2 linked regions of the Alligator mississippiensis genome follow. The protein of the gene in region 2 interacts with the protein of the main gene of each other region in a biochemical or structural test. Links are inferred from orthologs where the notes say so. Each region holds a gene or a part of one and is shown on either strand. Other genes may lie near its edges.

Region 1 (10,321 bases), on a different chromosome or scaffold from region 2:
GTATTGTCATGGTCTGCCCACAGTCCCAGTGCATGTACAAGAACAATTAGACACATACTTGTAAGAAACTCCGCTAACCTTACTTTGAAGATTGCTAGTGCCTTGTACATTAACATCTAGTGATAAATTTCTTCTTGCAGTGAGTGAATGTTTGGCTTTCAACTGGCCAAGCATTCAGAAGATTTTGATAAGTATTTATTTTGGTCTTTGGCCTCTGCCCTTCTATAAAGAACTTGCCAGATGGCTTGGGAGTATGAATTTAAATCTGACTTGCATTCTCTTTGAGACCACCCCCTTCACCCTAAAAGAATAGAAAAAGAACAAAAATAAAGCAGCGCATTTGATGCCCGTGCATCAACACAAATATAAAAGCCACTGTCTGATATTACAGGCACAGCAAATGCTAAGTTATCTGGCAACAACACTAAGACAGGTGTTCTGAAGGTCAGAATGTGCTAGTGTTTAACTTTTAGAGCAATATAAAAATGTCCATATTTACAACCAAGAGTAACTTGCAACCTGAATTATCATTCAAACCACTAGTTATTTAATGCAGCTCTCCTTACAAAATTAGTTGTACTAGCAAGAACTAAGTGACCATATTTATTAACGTGTAGTAAATGGCAGTTGACAACCATCCCAACTACTACTGAGCCTGAATTTTGTTACTAGATTTTTTTTTTTTTTTTTTTTGTTATCCAATGGATTACTTTACCCCATACACCACCAATCCGAGTTGTGGAAACAATATGTTAAAGAAAACCACCACTCCAAGTGAAATTGCCTCATTTGGAAGAGCTATAAATTGTACACAGGAGCCATAAACATATTTTGACATCTTACTGGCTAATGCTCCACATGCTGGCATTTTTCAGATTATACACTTATCCATCGTAATAAGGAAGATGGATGACGTACATAGTTTCTAGTGCCTTTAAAAGGATCTACAAGACACCCATAATTAACTTGTATCTACCAAAATATACTATGCTTATATGCTATTGTGATAAATGTGTGTGTCCTAATCTTGTTTTAACACTTTACTTGCCTTGAAAATAGAAAACTATTTTAGGGAATGACATTTTAATCTAGGCATGTCCTCCTAGCACTTAACAGACTGCCTCCTCCCTAGCATTTTCAGGGCATCACTTTTCTTCATTCAAGTAGTAGTGTCCAAGCACAAGGGACAATCACATCCCAGAACTGCATTTAGACAATTATTCTTGTTATATAAACAGAGCCTTAAATATATTATTTGTAACTAAGGCCTAAACACACTGCAACTGTTTAGTAACCAGTTTACTACAAATTCGCCTTAGGCTTCCTTGTGGCAAAAAAATTCAGGATGGCTGTGAAATTTGTCTGGGGAATCACCAATGTTCTATGAAGAGACATGGAGTATTTCTTACTTCAATGCCCACAAATTACAAAAACAAACAAAATAAAAACAAACTTGATAACAAACCCAAAATAAAAACACATTTCACATCAGCCTTAAAAACCAAAAACATCCCCCCCCGCCCCAAAAACTTTTTTATGGTGTAGCCAAGGCCTTTCCTTACCACTCAAGCAACAGATTTCCTTCCATTATCAACTATTTTTATACATGGGATACAAACAAATATAAAAAAAATGCTGTTTCTTAATACAAAGAAACCACCAAGTCAATATTTTTTTTTACTTTTACAGCCCATACAACTGACGTGAAAAATAGGTTTGTGATTTCACATTAATCAGAATCTTAAGCTATGACACCAACCAGTAAGAGTTAAAACACTCAGTTACAACCAGGATTTTTATTTTTAATTTTTATTAAAGATTTAACATCAAGTTACCTGGTAGGTTATTCACAAGATAACTGGGCCTGCTTGCAAGAATGGATTTTTATTTTCTACTATTACTGGCCATTAAGTTACTTGAGGAAGGCCAGTTGTTACATAACTTAATGGTGGCTTTTATAAACAGAGAAGCCAACAATAATTCTGCTGGCTGGTCATGATATGTGCGCAAAAGTAAGCAATGTATTGTTTGTTCTCACAGAATCATAGAAAATTTGGGTAGAAAGGGACCTCAGATCTCATATCCAATTTTCAAAACTACAAGGCACTAACACTAGCCAGATAAGCATAATTAAAATAAAAGTTATACAATAACTAATACCAGCAACTAATACAAGCTAAGCTGTTGGCCTATACATTTATTCTTTAGCATAACAAGAGAAATCATTAGTCTTTGCTTTAAATAAATAAAATGTATTTATTTATTTATTTAAATAAAATTATTTAATTTTAAATAATAATGCTTCTAAAATAGCGGTTGACACAAAGCTACAATCTCCCAAGATATAATGAGACTTTAACCTCCAAGAGTTAGCACATATAGAAAAAAAAAAAAGTCGGCTGTTCCCTCCACGTCACGCACACACAAGCACAGATAGGCATGCAAAAATGTACTTACATTCCTATTAAATTTTGTGAAGGAATGATGCATATAAAACCTGTGCATGTAAACAATTGCAGTATTTATTGTAAGTTGAGACCTGAAAGACAGCATTAAGGAAATTTCACATCACCAAAGGAGTAACAAATTAAGATCATCATCAAGCCACGACTCTCCCCTACAACACGTCCCTCCTGGGGACGTAACTCGAGCCAGCTCTGCTCGGCTGGGACACACCACTGGTACAACACGCTCGTGCTAGTGCCTTGTACATTAACATCTAGCGATAAGTTCCTTTTTGTATGTTATGCTTTCCATTGGCCAAGCATTCAGAGGATCCCTGGGTTCTTCCGAATGCTGGGCCAAAACAAGGGTTGTAAAGGACCTCGGGAAGTCACATCCAGTCCAACCCCCTGCTCAAAGCAGGGCCAGACCCAGCTACATCATCCCAGAGCCAAGGCTTCGTCTAAAAAACCCCAAAACATCCCCATCCTTCGTTGGGCTGCACATGAGAGCTGCCACGGGAAGGAGACTCCTCGCCTCCAGGAGTATTTTGAGCACCTGTTTAAGCTCGGCTCCCTCTATTAAGCTGCAGCAACCAGCAGGCAAGAGCGGGGCCTTTTTTTGGGTGCTGCTGCTGCTGCCTCAGATAGACAATCCTCATAATATTAATGAAAGCGTTGACGGCTGAGGGGAAGGGAGAGCCCTGGGGGCCGAGCCGGAGCCTCCTGCCCGCAGGCCCGAGCAGGCCAAGGAAACCCGACCCCGGGGCTCCTCCGCCACACACTGCCCCCGCCCTCCCGCGAGGCCGCAGCCAGCAGCGGCTGGAGGCTGCGGCCCGGCCCGGCCCGGCCCGGCGGATACACGTTGAGGCGCTGGCCCATGTCCTGGATGAGGTTGGCCGCCTGCTGCCGGTACGAGAGCTCCTTGTCGGCCTCCACGCCGCAGCGCCGGGACGGCGTGCTCTCCAGCTGCTCCCGGCTGAAGAACCAGCGCGACGCAGTGCTGGAGCCGCCGCCACCGCCACCCCGCGCCGCCGCGCCCGCCCCGCTCCCCGCCGCCGCCATGACACTTCCTCCGCCAGCTCCGGCCGCCCCGCCCGCCGCCTCGCCCTCCATGCCGCTCTCGCGAGAACTCGGCGCCCGGCGGCGGTCTAATCCGCTGCCACCATAGAGTGGCGAGGCAGCGAGGCCAGAGCGCCGCGCGGAGAGGGACGGTCACGTGGCACGGCTGCGCCATACAGAGCGCGGGAAGAGCATGGGCATTTCCCCCCCTTTCTTCCCGCCCGCTCGGCCGGCGAGGGGTGGGGGCTGGAAGAGGCTCCGGAAATGACGTTAAAGCCCTTTTTCCGCAGCGCGGATTGGGCAGGGAGAACTCGCGGAGGCAGGGGGCGGGGCTTGGCCTCGCGGTCTTTGTCCTGACGCTGGCTCCGCCCCCGGGGCCCCGCCCTTGATGTTTGGAGGCGGGGCCTCGAGCCCAGAGGGCTGAGGAGCAGGGAGGTGGGGGTAGCCTTGCTGCTCATCTTTTCAACCTGGAAGTTTTGGGAACTCCCGTCTTGGACACAGGAAGTTTTCCAGCTGTTGTATTGCAATCAGATTAACGCTTCCTTGGAGACTTGTTGGTGGAAGTGGTATAACGCGTCGGGTGCATGTCGTTCGAGGTCCTCGACTTGCATCGTTTCGAGTTACGACGTGTTGCTCTTCAGACCCATCCCGTTTCGGCTTTCTGACGTAAGGTTCGACTTGACTCTGGATCGGGCGTCTGCAAACAAGTTTGCCGCAGCGTCCGTCTCCCCAGAGAACGTCTGTGCAAGCTTCCTTGGACGCTTTTTCTTTAAGAAAGCGGACGAGACGCCGGAAAAACCTGCAGCCGAGATTCCCGAGGAGACTCGGGCCAAGAGTCCTTCAAAACGTCCAACCAAGAGCCCGTCAAAAGGCCCAGCCAAGTCACCTCAAAGAAGTCCTTCCAAATCAATATGATTGCTATTTGCAATATAAATACGTTACTCATCTATAATTGATTAAATACAAAATTCTGGGTTGTTTTGGGTGAAAATAGGGTATCGGGCCTTGGCTCAGGAACCCGTCCCCATTTATAACGTTGTTTCCCATGGGAAAATCGGTTCCGAGTTACGACGTTTCGACTTAAGACACGGTTTTCAGGAACCAATTGTGTCATAAGTCTGAGGACTGCCTGTACTTGGGATAATTATTTTGCAAACTTCCTTTTCTCTTCAAGATCCATTTACATAATATTCGCGTTAAACTATATATTAAAAAAGAGGAGATAGAGGATTGCCCCGCAGGCTGCAAAATCCGAGCCAGAGGCATCGAGCATAAATAGCTTTATTCAGTAATAGATCTTATTTTATATCTAACACACACGATGCTGTACGTCTTCAGAGGCCACATTAATTAATTACCGTGAAGAATTCTGTGATCATTAAGTAACGGTTTAATGTAATCAAATATGTTTTCTTGTTATTGGAGAGGTTCCAGCCTGCAGTCTCAAAAGACATAAATATTGTAGTCTCGCTAATATGATAGATCAAGGGTTTTGCAAAGGAAAATTAATTAAGAATGTATTAATCTGATTAAAATGTATTTGAGCAATTAAGATTTATTTTTTTTCCTAAATCCATTCAAACATCTGAAAGAAGCAAAGAGAGTTGGTGGGAAGGTCATGAGGAAGAGACCTTGTGTAAAATTGAAGATGCCTCTTTCCCCACTGAAGTTTTCTTAAAACAGGGCTGTTCTGTCCAGCTTCAGAGCAGCTGGGAGTCACAGGCTGCACCAGATGCAGGGCCCAAGCTGCACACTAAATGTGCCACATGCTGCGGGGGGCCTCATGCCATGCAGTCTCCTGTGACCCCTGCCATGTGCAGCCCCTGCACCTCATGTGAGCCCTTCCCCACTACCACTGCCATGCAGGTGAGCTCTCCTTCCACTTCACTGCCCTAACTGTGCAAGCAGCAAAGCCCCCTCTTACACCTGGTGGGCAGCAAGGGTGTGGGCAGCATTTCCCCTTCTGTGCTGCCCTGCCCAAAGACTGGCTGCCACTGCAGCATTAGGAACAGTGGGAGGAGTGGCAGCCAGGCAGGAGCCTGCATATCACAATTTTAGCCCACTCAGACTGAATGTGGCCCATAGGTCACCACCTAGACAGCCTTGATTGGAATTCCTGGTGGATAAATTGTCGAACAGTCAAATAATTGAAGACTTGTATAAAATAATTGTAGAGCTATATACTTACAAACTTTAAAGGACAGAAACATTTGAAAGGAAAAGACAGTGTACCTTGTCTTTCACGTCCTCTAGTCATGAACTGCCAGTGAAGGGCTTGTAGGTCACAGTATGGTGAAAGTTAACTAAAGTCACGTTACCCACTTTCCCTTCCTTCTCTACATAGACATCTGATTCCCAACTCTCAGTACCTGGTCTAATGAGGTGCTGCACACCTTCAGGGCTTCTGAAGTTCATGCCTTTCATACAGACTTCTTGGAGAAGCAACATAGATTAAACCTATGTTGATGTAGGAAACCTACCTTTCACCACCCTAGAACACTGGGACTTCCTAGATAAAGGGTATCATATCCTACAGAATAATTCCCAGGTGTACAATGTGATAAAAATGTTAATGTGTTTTTCTATTTAGAACATGGAGCCTCCTGTGAAATACCTGTTTTAAGTGAATGGAACATCAAACCACACTGTTTATTGTTCTTTATTTATTTTTATTCTGGTAACGCCAATAATGTGCAAAACACTTTCCACACAAATAAGAGAACACGATTTATGCCCTAAAGATCTTATAGTCCCAGACACATTCATATGGATATTTCTGATGAAACAATGAGCAGTGATATATAGGCAAGTGTTGGCACTCAAACTGTGTTCATTAGGCTTCCTAGGTAGCAAAGACTGAAAAGGCATGCCATTCACAAATCTCTGAGTTAGCTTTTCAAGAGTGCTGATTAAAGTTCAGTGGGTTATAACAGCTGGAAGCAATGACCTGTCCCATTCTGGAGGAAAGAAGGATCCTCAAAGATCTAAGGATGCAGAGAAATCCCCAGATTTCCAGTGCCCTTGCTTTTACGATCAGTAACAGTAAATCATTTATTAGCAGAGTTTATTTGACATTAGTATAGTAGAAACATATGTTTGCCTGTGTGTAGGTATGCACAACACACTGATGTAGATATATAGAAGATGCTCCATTGTGCTTGTTTGGTTTCTCTAGTAATTTCAAAGTGATACAAATTGTTTTCTATCAAGTCCCAAAAATTCCAGAGCATTTCCAGCTTTGAGTTTGTCCTGAAAAAAAATAGAAGACGTATTTATGTAGAGAACCTTACAAATATTTTGTATGCTAACAACTAAGCCCTGGAAAGAGGATTGTATTTATCTCTTACCAATGAATTTTCTGCAGGAGGAGGGTTAAAGTGTTGTAGATGTGATGGTTCAGGACACATATAGATAGGCAACTACTTTTTAGTGATATCTTTTATTGGATCAAGTGCAGAGCTGGAATAGATGTTAGTTAGATATGGACATACTTTTTAAAGAGCCTTTAAGCTGGAGATCAGGAGTGGGAAAGCACAGAAGAATTTTCTTATGAGGTTTCTTTCATCTCATTGTGTGGAGAAGGAGATACTATAGATTGAGAAAAAACTGTTATCACTTTATATGTTACGGGCCTGACTATTTCCTGCTTGCTAGCAAGGGCCTGTAGGGAAGCAAAGGACATGGGCAGAGGACTTCAAGGGGAAGGAGATGCATTGCTTGGGAGCACATATCAGCTGATCCACTGTCACTGTTTTGTCTCATTCCTGCCTTGCAGTAAGTGAAGATAACCCCCAAAATTACAAACAGGCAAATTACAAAACAGTTGTAGTGGATTCAGGTGCACCGTGGCAAGCCTGACACTTAGTTGGGTGATTTTTCCAATACAATTGGAGGATTTTCCCAATGCAGAAAAGGACCAGGTTATTATAGAGCAGGGACACTAATTCTTTTTGCCTCGTGGACCAGATGGGCGGTGCCCAGTTCTGCCACTGGATCCAGCCAGTGGTGTTGGCTTAGAAATGGTATTTAAAGGTTTGTTTTTTGGGGAATTGGATTATAGGTATAGATAGATATATTATAATTGATGGACAGCAGGGATTAATTGATTTCTAAAGAGCTTGGGTCTCACACACAAAGTTTCTCACAGCCCTCGAAGCAGACAGGTTGTCTAACACAACAAGGATACCAGTCTAGAAAACAGCCTGGAAACTGGGAGCATATACCATACTGTCCCATAAGATGAAATAAAGTGACACCAGTTGCAAGGCCCCAGAGCAGCAGCAGGGAGTGGGGGTGGAGGGCAGCTGTGTCCTGGTTTTGGGAGAACAGACCAAATTAGGAGAAGGCCCAGAAAGACCAAATGACTATGTATGCATGTGATGAGTTTGGAATGTGGTGACGATACAGTATGTGGAAGTGTGACCACAGAGAGACAACCAACCAGAGATAGCCATGGATCAAGAGTCATCAGGAGTCATGAAGAGGGAAGAAGGATACAAAAGCAGAGACTTGAGAGTAACAAAGAGTCCTTCCCTTTGTCCATCCCCCCCTTTGTCCCTTCTCCCTCCTTCCTCGTTTCATCCCTGTCCTTCTCCTCCCTGAGAGGGATTCCCCTCCCCCAGGAAGGGTCCCTGAGGCCATCATGGAGGGCATATGAGCAGCCCATCTCATCCACCCCACTGGAAAGGGCTGTGGGCCTCGGCATCCCACCTCCTGACTGTTGGACATCTGACACCTAAGAAAGAGCCTCAGAGTGGAGACTGCATCCTGGCCAGATGTACTTTGACTCTGATGACAGACCTAGGATTTGGTAGATATATAGACTTGCTTGATTGTTAGTATTGCTTCTTTTCTGTTATCACTGTGTAACAATAAATTTGCCTGTTATTGAATGGAGAGGTTGTTGCCAGTCTGAGGGTGGGTCCCCACCTGGAACAAGGCCTCTGGGTCCGGGTTCTATATCCAGAGCCAACAAGTGGACCTAGTCTAGCTGTATGGAGTGGGGTGGGAGGCAGCTTGGCTTTGATCCAGCCACATGGGGGAAAGACAGTGCGGCTCAGCCCTCAACCTGAATGAGAAGGGTTTGGGAATTTGGTAGCAAGGGAGGGGTAGCTTTGTTAATTGTTACTATTCCCCCATTGACAAATTTTGTGATCTGTGAGGAACGCCACAGGCTAGATACCATTGCTCTGCAGGCCAGATTTGGCCCATGGATCACAAGTTGAGTACCCCTGTTACAGAGGAAGATTTCAATCACCTTGTGGAATGGAGCTTTAGAAATAGAATTAAGTTCAATAGTATGAGGTACAAAATCATGCACTTAAGGATCACTGTAAAAGATTTCAGCTGTAAGATGGGGATGCCCCTAGACCGACGACAACTGAGGAAAAGAGGGTATATTGAATGATTATAGAATCACCATGAGCCACTGATGGGAAAGGCTGAAAAAGACTTTCACAATGCTGGAGTGATAAGGTGGAGTGCATTTAGTACACACAGGGAGGTACTAGCATCACTGTACATGGCATGGTTTAGACCACGGTTTAGAATGCTGTTCTGGTCAGCTGAATAATACTGTTATCTTGGATTTGGAAATGAATCAGTTAATGTTAAAGAAATTCCCATCCACATGATATTGGTTGCTGATTTCAGGTGGAAGTCTATCAGCAATAAAATGCAGAATGGCTGTGATATAGATGGAAAAGTGTGTTGGTGTAATCACACATCGTTGCTTAACTCCAGTTCTAATAATGATGAGGGCCATTTCCAAACCACTAAGCAAAGAATTGCTTGCTGTCATTTTGACAAGGAGTCTGATGATGGTAACAAATTTTAACGGACATCCAAATCTCATCAAGATCTTCCATAGGACTTATTTGTTGATTAAATCAAAGGCCTTAGGTCAATGAACGCCATATAAAGATCTCAGTGTCTCATGCAACACTTCTCCTGCAGCTGTCTAGCAGCAAAGATGATATCTATTTCACCTTTGAGTGATGTGAAACCACACTGGGGCTCAGGTAGAATATCCTCAGTGAGGAAAATGAGTCTATTGAGAAGAATGTGGGTGAAGGTCTTCCCAGCTATGGAGAAGAGTGCAATACCACAGTAACTGTTGCAATCCAATCTATCACCTTTCTTGAATATAGTAATGATTATTCTGGCATCTCTCAAGTCACTTGGAATCTCTTCATGTTTCCATATTTTCATAATAATGATGTGCAGTTGGTAAGAGAGCTTTTTTCTACCTTGTTTATAAATTTCAGCTGGCATGCCAACAGGACCACATGCTTTGTTGTTCTGCATCTGCTTAATGGCTTTCAAGGCCTCTTGATAAGCTGGTGTACCTGTAAGGTAGTCCTTAATGGGCTTGTCTACCTGTGCAATTAACGTGACTAAAAATAGTCTGGCTCAATTTGAGCTGGAGTAAACAATGTCACCATCTACACATGCAGTAATTTACTGCACTGCCAGATACTATTTGTATCTGATGGGACTATCCAGCAACGCATTAAATTAGTGTACTATGCCCTAATTACTGCACAGCAAATTAGTCTGCTGCACAGTAAAGTGTCTCGTAGAAGCATCCAATGGAGTGTTATGCTGCTTTGACGGTATTGTCTTCAACAGTAGAACCTTGGTTCAGGAGCTCTTGAAAGCGCTCCTTCCACCAAGCTGTCTTGAAAGAGTTCCATACTTGGACCTCAGAGGGTGGCTCCTTGTATGCTTGGCCCATAGGCCACTTTGGTTGTGCTGAAGAAACTACATGGCATGGCTGTCAGGAAACTTTCATCTCTTTTGCTTTGTTATCCCGCTAC
Region 2 (10,205 bases):
AGTAGAGTCCGTTCAGCAGCATCTGCATCACCTTCTTGATCTCTGACAGCGTAAACTTCACATGCGCATTGCTGAGCAGGCCGGCGAGGTCGTGCTCACAGAAGTCAAACACCAGGTAGATGCTGCCCTTGCAGCGGTTGTATGGGGAGGCTAAGGGACAAGCCAGGGGCAACTGCTGAAAGGTCAGTCACCAAGACTGCGCCCCCCGAAACTGGTCACTAGCTCCCCCATTACCATGCTCTAAGGCCACAGCATCAAGATGCTATCCAGCCTCAGTGCTAGCACCATTCTGAGGTAAACACTACCATATCATGCAAAGGGAAGATGTTCACATCCATGTTAGAGGCAGTTAAGCACAAGTCAGGGCTGAACACAGCCTCACACCTGCCTGTCCTTTTTTGTCTGGTCACCTACAGAGATTACTGAAACATCACCAAGAGACAGAAAAATAAGTCTCTGGCCCAAGAGTCTTCCCACCTGGATTATCCATAAAAGGTATCAAAAGCAGAGGCCAGAGAAGGAGGCATGAAGGTCAAAGTCATGGTAAGGTGCACAAGGAAAAAACAAAAACCAAATGTGCTTGAAGGATGACAAACCATTTAAACAGTTGTGGAGTAAACAACCTTTCAGGTTCTTAAGTTGTTTTACATTTTTAAATTTGTTAGAAAGTGGTAAATAACATTTCTTTATGATTTGTGTAAACATTTATAGATTCATAGGTGTTAGGGTCGGAAGGGACCTCAATAGATCATCGAATCCAAACCCCTGCATTTATTCAGCCAGAAACTGAAGCTTAATCAGTAACGCAAAGTTACTTTGCAACCATTTCTTATTAGTCGAATAGAGCTAGCCGAACCTTAGTTTCATAGTTGGTAGGGTCGGAAGGGACCTGAGCAGATCATCAAATCCGACCCCCTGCTATGGCAGGAAAGAGTACTAGGGTCAAACAACCCCAGCAAGGTGTTTATCTAGCCTCCTCTTAAAGACCCCCAGGGTAGGAGCCAGCACCATTTCTCTTGGAAGTTGGTTCCAGATCCTAACTACCCTGACTGAAGCAGCGCGTCCTGATGTCTAGTCTGAATCTACCCTCTGCCAGCTTGTGACCGTTATTTCTAGTCACTCCTGGTAGTGCTCGGGGGAACAGGGACTCCCCCAATGTCTGTTGGTCCCCTCCGACTTGCTGGGCACAAAAAAAAAAAAAAGAGAGAAACAAGATCCATTTGGTCAACGAATCAATAGCTAGTTAGTGTAAACTAACTATGAATCAGTAGCGATTATTTCTGGCCATTATGCCCTACAACATTTAAAAACTAGCATCTCATTCTAGTGCCTTATTTGGCATTCCATAGAGTGAAAGAAAGCAATAGGAAAGAAAGCTTGTTTGCCCAGATTTGGGAACTGAAAACAAGTCAGTGAACTGAACTAGCTGAATGAACCAAAACGAACAATGTTCTTCTCCAGGTGCAGAGAATGAAATGCTATCAAAAACCGATTTGGCACTTTAGCAGACTGACTCCAGGGGCTAAACCAGAGATTTCCATCATTTCAGTGGCATGATTTTCTTTACAATTTCAACACCTGGCAGGCACTGCTTGAATTTTTATTTAAGCCTTGGCAGTTTTAGCACATATGCTTACCATCATCCATTAAAGTTGTCAGGATGTCAAACAGGTTTATTTTTAAAAGAAAACAAAAAATCAAAAACCTATATTTGGTTTAAAAATTTTAAAAACTTTTTAAAAATTAACTTTTATCTACTCGCTTCCAGTGGCCTTACATGCTAGGTCCTGTAGAGAAGAGGCAACATCCTCCCTGCCAGAAACTGTCCACAAAACAACGAGTCAAAGAACAAGCAGGCATTCAAGTGATGGAACTGCACTGTGAAAATGGAAAGCCATTGAATTCATCTACTAAAGTATAGGCAGTTCCTCCCCAAGCAACAGTAAGTGAACACACTGAGCCAAAGTACTATTATAAAACCAGAGTTAAATAGTCACCCTGTATTGTGCTAAATAAATCCAGCTACTGCTGCAAAAGCAACACAGAATAGATATATTTTATATCTATTGATGCTTTAAAAGGAAAAAAAAAATCAATTTCAGGACAAGAAATTTACATCAGGTTTCTCTCCAGTGTGATTTTAAGGCAACACACACAAAAGCATGAGCTTTCCTGTATACAAAAGACAGATATGTACGCAGGCCTTTCACTGTTGTAGCACAATATTTCAAAGGAGTCTATGAAAGCTTCATCTACATGAGTTACAATACAACCAAGTACAAGCTGATGCCTTGCCAGATCCCCTGGACTTCCTATCTTACATCTCATGTAGGAATGATGCATTACAAATAGCACACCTCCTAGCTCTTACACAGCACTTTCCACCAGTAGGGATTGAACTGCTTTACAAAAAGGGTCAATAGCATTGCTCTCTCTGTGCAGACAGGGGAACTGCAGCAAAGGGAGGAAAGCGATGTGCACCCAGTCACCCAGCAGGCCAATGTTACTGGATACTCCAGAAAGCAGCTGACATGAGCCAAGAGGGGAACAACAAAACAATACCTTTGGTCCTGCAGATCTCTATAAGGTTCACCACGTTCTCATGCTTGAGCAGCTGAAGGATTTTAATCTCTCGCAGGGCTGTGATAGGAAACTGAAAAAGGAGAAATGAGGCCCACCGGTTAGGATGGCAAAGGATCATATCAGACTGGTCTGGAGCCCTTGAGAGGATTAAAGAGACAAAGCGGAAACACTCAAACAGAAACAACACAGACCTCAAATACAATTAGAGCGAGACGCTGAGCCCAACTTGGTGGAAACCCAAAGCTGTGCTCGGTGCCTTCCAGGCATGTTTGCAAACCAAGACTGATGCGAGAGCTGCCGAGCGCTCTTAGCAAAGACGGTGAATGCTGCGGGTGCTGAAAATCCTCAGGGGAACAGACCTTTATTCCACAGCACCCAGTTTAACCTGGGATGGGGAAAGGGTGCAGATCTATTCTGCTTCTGACCCTACTGCTGGCAATTCAGACTTGACAGGTGGACCAGACCCACGTGGTGGACACAAGCCAGGTCAGCAAAGCGCTCACCCCCTTCAGTGTCTCACTGGGGTCCGTCCCGCAAGGCAAGGGCAGCCACGAGGCTAACGAGAGAGGTACAGCACCAAGCAACCTTACCCCTGCATACGAGCGCACCACGCTTGCTGGATGGAAACGGCCTCACACGTTGCAGAGACAGACACCAACGTGGCTACGGAGCCCAGCAGCAAAGTGCCCCACGAACAACCTGCACCCTCCCAACAACTCTGCCCGGGGTATTACAGGGCTCTAGCCGCCCCCAACACACCGCACGCCTGCCTTACCCCCTCCTTCTCGTTCTCCATCAGCACCTTCTTCAGCGCCACCTTCTTGCCCGTCTGCCGGTGCTTGGCTTTGAACACCTCCCTGCGGGGCGAAAGAGGCCGCGCTCAGCCACGCGCGAGTGGCCGCAGCCCAGCGAGGGCGAGCCAGACCCAACTGCCTCCCCCCACCCGGGGCAGGGCCGGCTGCTCGGCCCGGAGGGGGCAGCTGGCCCCTAGGAAGCCCCGAGGAGGGCAGCGGGGACGGGCTCGCGCAGCCCCGGGAGGCCCCAGGCCGGGGGGGCGGGGGCAGGAGGGGCTCCCGGGGCCTGTACCCGGAGCGGCGGGGCGGGGCGGGGGGCGCTCACCCGAAGGTGCCCTGGCCGATCTTGGCCAGCTTCTCGTACTTGGACACCTCGTCGCAGAAGGGGCACTCCACCATGTCGTACTGCTTGGCCATGCTGCTGCTGCCACCGCCGCCCGGCCCGGCCCGCCGCGGGGCCGCCTGCTCGCTCAGAGCCGGCGCGCTGCCGCCCGCGCCTCGCCCGGGGCTTCCGGATCCGCCGGCCATGCTCCACTACTTCCGGGGCGCCGCCGCGCTGCCCGCTGGGAGCTATGGTTCTGGAAGAGCCGCGAGAAGAGGGCGGATCGAGAGGCCGTCACGCGGGCGCGGATTGGGCGGGGATCCGCGCCTGCCCCGCCCCGCGCTGCGTGTGTGATTGGCCCGCGTGCTCGCTGAGTGACGCACGCGTGGCCTCGCGGTCGGTTGCGTCATCGACTGCGAACGTTACGTCATCGCACTGTTCCCTGGAGCATCCACCTGCCCCGCCCCCTCCTCCCAGCACTCGCGTCCCCCGGGGTGTCGTCACACGGCGGCGTGACGTCAAGGCGCCCCTGTGACGTCACCCCTGTTTCATTGCAGCAGCCCTGGGACAGCTGTGTATGGCCTCCTGTCCACTATCTTTAGGCTTGCGCATAGCCTCAGTGCATTGTACATTGCCAGGTGCGCTCACCCATGGGTGCCAGCTGCAGTGACGGGCGCCGGGTGCCCTGCCATACTCATCCCTCATGGGAGCGTCGTGGGCTTTCTCCTCCGACCCTTGAGAGACCGGAGCCTGCGGCACCAGCAGGACCTCTGCCAGGGCTGCCCAGGGTCTGGCAGGGCCTTGTGGCTCCTGGGGCTCGTAACCCCCAGATTGTCCACGCGTCAGCACCTGAAGCTGGGTTGCAGCGCTCGTGGTGGCGCGGGGCTCAGAGCGCCAGGGCAGGGCTTTGCTCTCTGCCACCTACCTACAAGTAAGTAGTGCTCTAGTGAGGGGAAGCAAGGGGGGAACGGAGGAAGCCCCAGAGGCAGGGGACTGGGGGAAGCCCAGAAGGGGAGGGGGGGTTCTTACCTTTCAGTCCTCCAGGCCCCCTCCGGCCTGAAGTGTGACCGCTCCAAACCCGAGCCAGCACTGACCCCCCATCTATACTTGTGCAGCTCATAGTGTAAGGTGTAACAAGGCCCTAATACCAGGCTCTGGCCTCTTGTCAGTCTGGGAAGGAAAAGAAGGAATAGTAATCGCAGGCACCTCTGCATCATCATCCTGTGCCTACACGCCACAGCAACGCATCCTGAGTCACAGTGCCACACTGAACCATCCTGTTGTGTCTCAGCATCGTTGCTTCACGCCGTGACACCCCCTCATGCCCTCATGCAGAGGACACTCGTTCTATCCGGCACATCAGCATTGCATCAGTGCAGCATCCAGCTGCGTCACTGAGTTAAATCACCTCCATAGCGTCCCGTGCTCCCCTCCAGGAGGCCAGCGCCGTGACATCTGCCTACTGCCCACGTTACAGTTTGGCAGCGTGCTCGGATGCAGCAGCAGCCGTCAGGGTGCCACAGGTGGCTACATAAGCAGAGTGCCAGCAGGGGGCTCCGAGACAGCTAAGAGAAGAGATCATTCGCAGCAGGCAGGCAGAGAAAGGATTAGCTCTTACAGCAGTCCTGAGATAAACGTCAAAGCCAAGCCCAGCTTTCAAGGGACAGAGGTAGGCAGAGGAGACAGATGTAGGGAAAAACAGCTGATGGGGCAAGGAGAGGGACGGGCTCAGTGATTAGTGGGTAAAGCAGGCAACTGGAGTCAGAACTGGCTCTGCAACTGCCCTACTGTGTGACCTTTGGCGAGTCACTTCTCTTCCATGATTCTCAGGTCTGTAAGCTAGAAAGAGACAGGTTAGAGTACCAGCAGCAAAAGCCTGTCACACCAGCAGTATTTACTGATAGCCTCTATGAGTCTCAGTGGAGAGAGCCCTAAACAGATGCCAGTTTGGACAGTGCCCATGAGAGAGCCCAACACTTGGGTCAGTTTTCATAAGCATCCATTGCTGCAACACCTGCCTGTTCTCTGAGCCCTCCCACGCTGCGTCCAGTGCTCCTCTCAGCCCTTCTATGATGCCTGGACACTGGCCCCAGTGGCTCCCCTGTCCCCTGTCTCTTCTCTGACCTTTGGGAGCTGTGTCAGATGTTTTCTGTGGCCAGAGCCTCGGCAGGCATAAAGGCTTGTGTCTCTGACTCCACTATGTTGATTTATATCCATTTCCTGCCCCTTAGCTGGAGTGAGATAAGGAGGAAACCATTTTCATTTCAATTCAGGGCAACAGAAATTGAACCCCCTCCTCCCCCCAGATGCCTTTCCCAGCCTCATGGCACTAGATTCATTAGTGGTTCCAACTGACACAAGTGATTCAGATATCCTTGGGTTCCAGGAACACAAAGATCTTGGAAGTGGGACCTGAGCTGTTCTCCAGATTCATTGGTCAGTCCTTTTGCTAGTCAGCATTTTTGAGGAAGAGATTTCATTCATCAATCAGAGAGGAATTCTCTGGGACTTTCCATTCTGTCATCTGGATGAGTGTGGTGCATGCCGGCCCTCGTCCCGGGGACACAGGCTCTGTGCTTGCCTGACCCCTGAGCACGCTGTGCTCTGTGGTACCTTCTGCCTGCCCGAGTGGTACCTTTTCACTCTGGGCACCACCTGCTGGTATTTCCCAGCTTCCAGGCTAGGGCACTGCATGTCTTTCAACAGATGATCCACATAGCAATGGGGCAGGTTGTGTTAGGGACTGAGGGAAGCCTGCAGCCCCTGCCACAGGGCTGCAGCTCTCCAGTAGGGCAGCACAACTTTGCAGCAGCTTTATCCAGTCTCAGCAGGGATAAGTGATCCTTACCAATCACCCCACATTTCCTTTCTGTTCTACCATTTGCTCAGGGAAGGAACAGCCCTCTGCCCACTGCAGCAAGTCCCTTCCCGCCCCATGGACTCAGAGCCCCATGTATGGAGGTGATCGTCTTATGATTTTGCCTCCCCGCTAGGAAACCATATTGGCAGCCCTGTCAGTCCTAACTCATTTGTTTGGAAAGGAGAGTGACTTCTAATCAACAGGCCTGATGAGTCTCCAGGCAGCACAAGGAATACAATAACTTTCCACCTTCCTAAAGGAAACTCCCACCCAGCTCACGTGGCAGCGGAGCGAGCTGCCCCAAGCTTCTTTTCCTGCCAAAACACAGCATTTGCAATCCACAGTGGAGGGAACAATCCTGCACTGGCCCCAGGGGATGGATAGGATGTGTCCGAACAGGCTGCACCAGTCTCTATGACGCCAGCTATGGGGACACCTGCCTGCAAGAGAAAAGGATTCCACAATTCTGCACTGTGCTGGGATGTTCTGTGCCGGCAAAAGTCTTCTCTGTCCTTTGCTTCCTGAAACAGCCCCTCGAGCACCCCCCTACACAGTGATTTGCCATCACACCAGTGGTACAAAACCCTTTTGACCCCCGCGATAGAGGATACAGTGCACCATTGACATTAGATCAGCTCTACTCAGAAGCTTCTGCCACTGTAGTAATGTTGCTTCTGGATAATCCCGATGCCGATATCCAACTGGTACAGCTTATTTCATTCAGAGAACTGCTGGAACAGGAGAGCAGGCCTATTCAGCTACACAATCAGAGCATTTCTAGTGTGGACAAGGCCTTATCTAGGAAGAGTTGCCTTCTAGCAAGAGCAGGGGGACTGGGTGTCTGCACTCCTGTTCTATCCTGCCTCTGCCCTGGGGCTGGTCAGAGACTCAGGCAAGTCGCTTAGAGGAAAATTTTCCATCATGGCCTTTGCTGGAAACCTTTGTGCCTGATGTTTACTGGTGTTCCCCTTTCGCTCCAAGTAAACTAGAGAAGACAACATTTTCTATCTGTCTCGTGTTTGGAAGCCTGCAGATAAAACACGCTCAGCTGTGCTGGGAAGGAATCTACTTATGACAGAGAGTGCGTGCGTGCCTTGGAGAGGGTACCGTGAAGGACACAGGTAGCTGCTGACCCATTGTCGTGAAGGCCGACTGTCTGGCTTGGTGGTCCTTGTGATGTCAGGGGCTTCACCTATCTCTGCGGAGACAAAGAGCTGTGTGCATGCAGAACAACAAGTAGCTCCTCTGAGCACAGCCAGCTGATAAAGTGTGTGTTTATGAGCGACTGTCCAAGGGGAGGGAGCACAGTGTGCAGCTCCCCTGACAGTCATGCTCTAGCTGCTGCCCACACCCTCACTGTGCCGGTGAATCACCACCTCGCAGGTCTCTGGGCAGCTTGTTGGGGCCCATATCACCAAATTCAGTCAGCTCCAAGAGAGTTCATTGTTATGCAGGGGCAAGCGCTTGTCGCCAGAGCTGCTTTGCTCCATCCTGTTGTATCATTTCCCCATGTCAGGGGCCGGGGACTGGATTTCTTCTATGGCCCCTGGGGAGTTTGGCAGGAAGCGACACAGTAAACAGGAGCAGACAATGAGCAGAGGCACTAGGGGCGGAGGCAACGCTCTCAAATTTGCTTCCAGAAACAGAGAGCTCAGTGTAACAACCCTTGTGCCGATGCAGAGCTCAGGGAAGTGGCGGACTGCCAGGGCCGTGGCTCTGCAGTTGTCTGCTTAACCAGACAGCAGGTACGGTCAGGCACAAGCAGTGCAGGTTGAAGCTCTGTGACCTCCCTGCCACCAGCTTGTACTGCAGAACCACATGGGTCCTACAGCCACCCAGACAAGCGTGAACCAAGATGTAGCTCTCAGGACCCCCAATCAGAGCACCACCCTGCTGCCTCCGCACCATCCCAGCAGGAGATGCAGACATCCGCTCACGAGGCTGATGTGAACTATGACAAAGCAATCGCACCCCCCGGTTCTCTGGCCTTCCACGGCTTGCTTCACTCTGGGCAGGTAACGCAAGGCCCCTGAATCCAGAGCAAGCATGTGAGTCAATAACAGTGGGGGGAAAAAGCTTGTTGACAAATGGGGATATCATCCATCAAAATTCAATCTTGCCTTCAGCTCTGAGTGATATGCAGGCAAATAACCTTCCATTAATTTTTCTGTAGCTTTTGGCAGCTGTTTAGATTTGGAGGCTGAAGGGAAAGATGCCATCAATCGTTCTCATACATGGGAAAGGTCCCTGCAGTGCATCCGCTCCTCATTTACTCCCCTCACTTGATTAATGCACCCCATAGCAGTGACATACACATAGCGCTGCCCCTGAGTCCTAGAAACATTAATATGTTTGAAAGCCCAGAACATACCACGACTATTGTATCTATTATAGTGCCGGTGACTATTGTATCAAGTCACCGGCACTGTGTACCCAGAAAGCAGAATGGAGGGTTTTCTCCTGAAAGCATAGGTTTGGGATTCAGGAGGTCTGGATACAAGTCCCAATTCTGCTATAGATTCCCTGTAGGACCTTGGGTAAGTCACCAAGCCTTTCTGTGCCTTGGCATTGGCACTTATTTGCTGCCTCAACAAAAGCATGGTAGAATGAATTCCTGCTTATCAATCATCCACAGACCAAAGGTGTTATGGAAATGCAAAGCCCTTTTCCTGTTTACAAGGTAAATTGAACCCAGCAGAGCTGGCAGACGGGCAGGACGAGACAATATGTGTCCAGTAAAAGAACCAGACAGGATTCCAGGGGCTGCAAACACCACACATCCCAAAGTGCTTTACAAAGGGATCAGGGATGTACAGGGACAAACACCAAAGCACAGACTGTCTCTAATGAGGAATGAGCCTCTGTCTGACCAGCAAGAGCTTCTTACTAAGCCTGAATGATATTGTACAGGCCCTGCTCCAGCTCCTGTGCTCTGGTCCCTAGTTTGCCCTCACCCCTCAGTAACACATTCCCCGGCGCTCACCCTGAGGTTTTCCTCCTGGCCCTGCCAGGTTCTGACACAGCATGGGAAATGCTAATCGTGTTACAAGCCTTTTCAAGCTGTGCCAGCCCAGCTGCTCCTCTGCAACTGTGCATGTGTTGGGCATCGCCTGACAAGCAAGGAGACTGCAAGTGGCCTTCCCAGCAAACCGGCAGGGAAAGGGAACAGCCATGGCCTTCCGCTCCCTCTGGAGGGAGTTCAGGGTCTGGGGCAGATTGAGGAGCTGCCCCACACCAGGCCCCTTTTCTTCCCATGCCCCATACCAAGTCCATACGAGGTCCTCCCCACACTCCAGGCCCTGTGCTGTTCAGCAATCACTCAGAGCCAAAGAACCCAACCCAGCAGCCGCCTGCCCCAGCAAGCATCTGAGTCCCAGCTGCGGGGCCCTGCAAAACGGAGCCTCTGCACAGCACAGCCGGTCCCAACCAACTCAGGACAGTGCCTCTTCAAGGTCCAGGCACAGCCTTTCTGCAAACCACACCAGCCTTCTCCCCTGCCCGTGCCATGCTGCCCCCCTTTCACCATCTCAGTCCTCTCTTCTCACCACCACTGTCCATGGGCATCAACTGGTCCCAGCCTTCAGGAACACACCTTTGGCATGGAAGGCATGGAAGTGGTGGACATCAGTACCAAAGGAAGGCTGCT

Evidence for each region. The genes of interacting proteins can lie anywhere in the genome.
Region 1: the proteins of CDK9 (region 2) and CCNT2 form a complex in vitro, tested with the Homo sapiens proteins (4 studies listed by BioGRID, with this or other methods). The link is inferred for Alligator mississippiensis from reciprocal best matches to the Homo sapiens genes CDK9 and CCNT2.

Annotation. Positions count from the first base shown.
Region 1 is NC_081827.1:238,104,071-238,114,391, forward strand, and holds the start of CCNT2 (cyclin-T2), read right to left. Parts: upstream 3,696-10,321; 5' UTR 3,558-3,695; coding exon 3,304-3,557; intron 2,540-3,303; coding exon 2,458-2,539; intron 2,446-2,457; exon of another isoform or gene 1-2,445. Other genes in the region: ACMSD (2-amino-3-carboxymuconate-6-semialdehyde decarboxylase), read right to left, coding at 6,684-6,752. UniProt on the Homo sapiens protein: Regulatory subunit of the cyclin-dependent kinase pair (CDK9/cyclin T) complex, also called positive transcription elongation factor B (P-TEFB), which is proposed to facilitate the transition from abortive to production elongation by phosphorylating the CTD (carboxy-terminal domain) of the large subunit of RNA polymerase II (RNAP II).
Region 2 is NC_081835.1:57,369,933-57,380,137, forward strand, and holds the start of CDK9 (cyclin-dependent kinase 9), read right to left. Parts: upstream 3,892-10,205; 5' UTR 3,795-3,891; coding exon 3,703-3,794; intron 3,441-3,702; coding exon 3,359-3,440; intron 2,654-3,358; coding exon 2,563-2,653; intron 151-2,562; coding exon 1-150. UniProt on the Homo sapiens protein: Protein kinase involved in the regulation of transcription.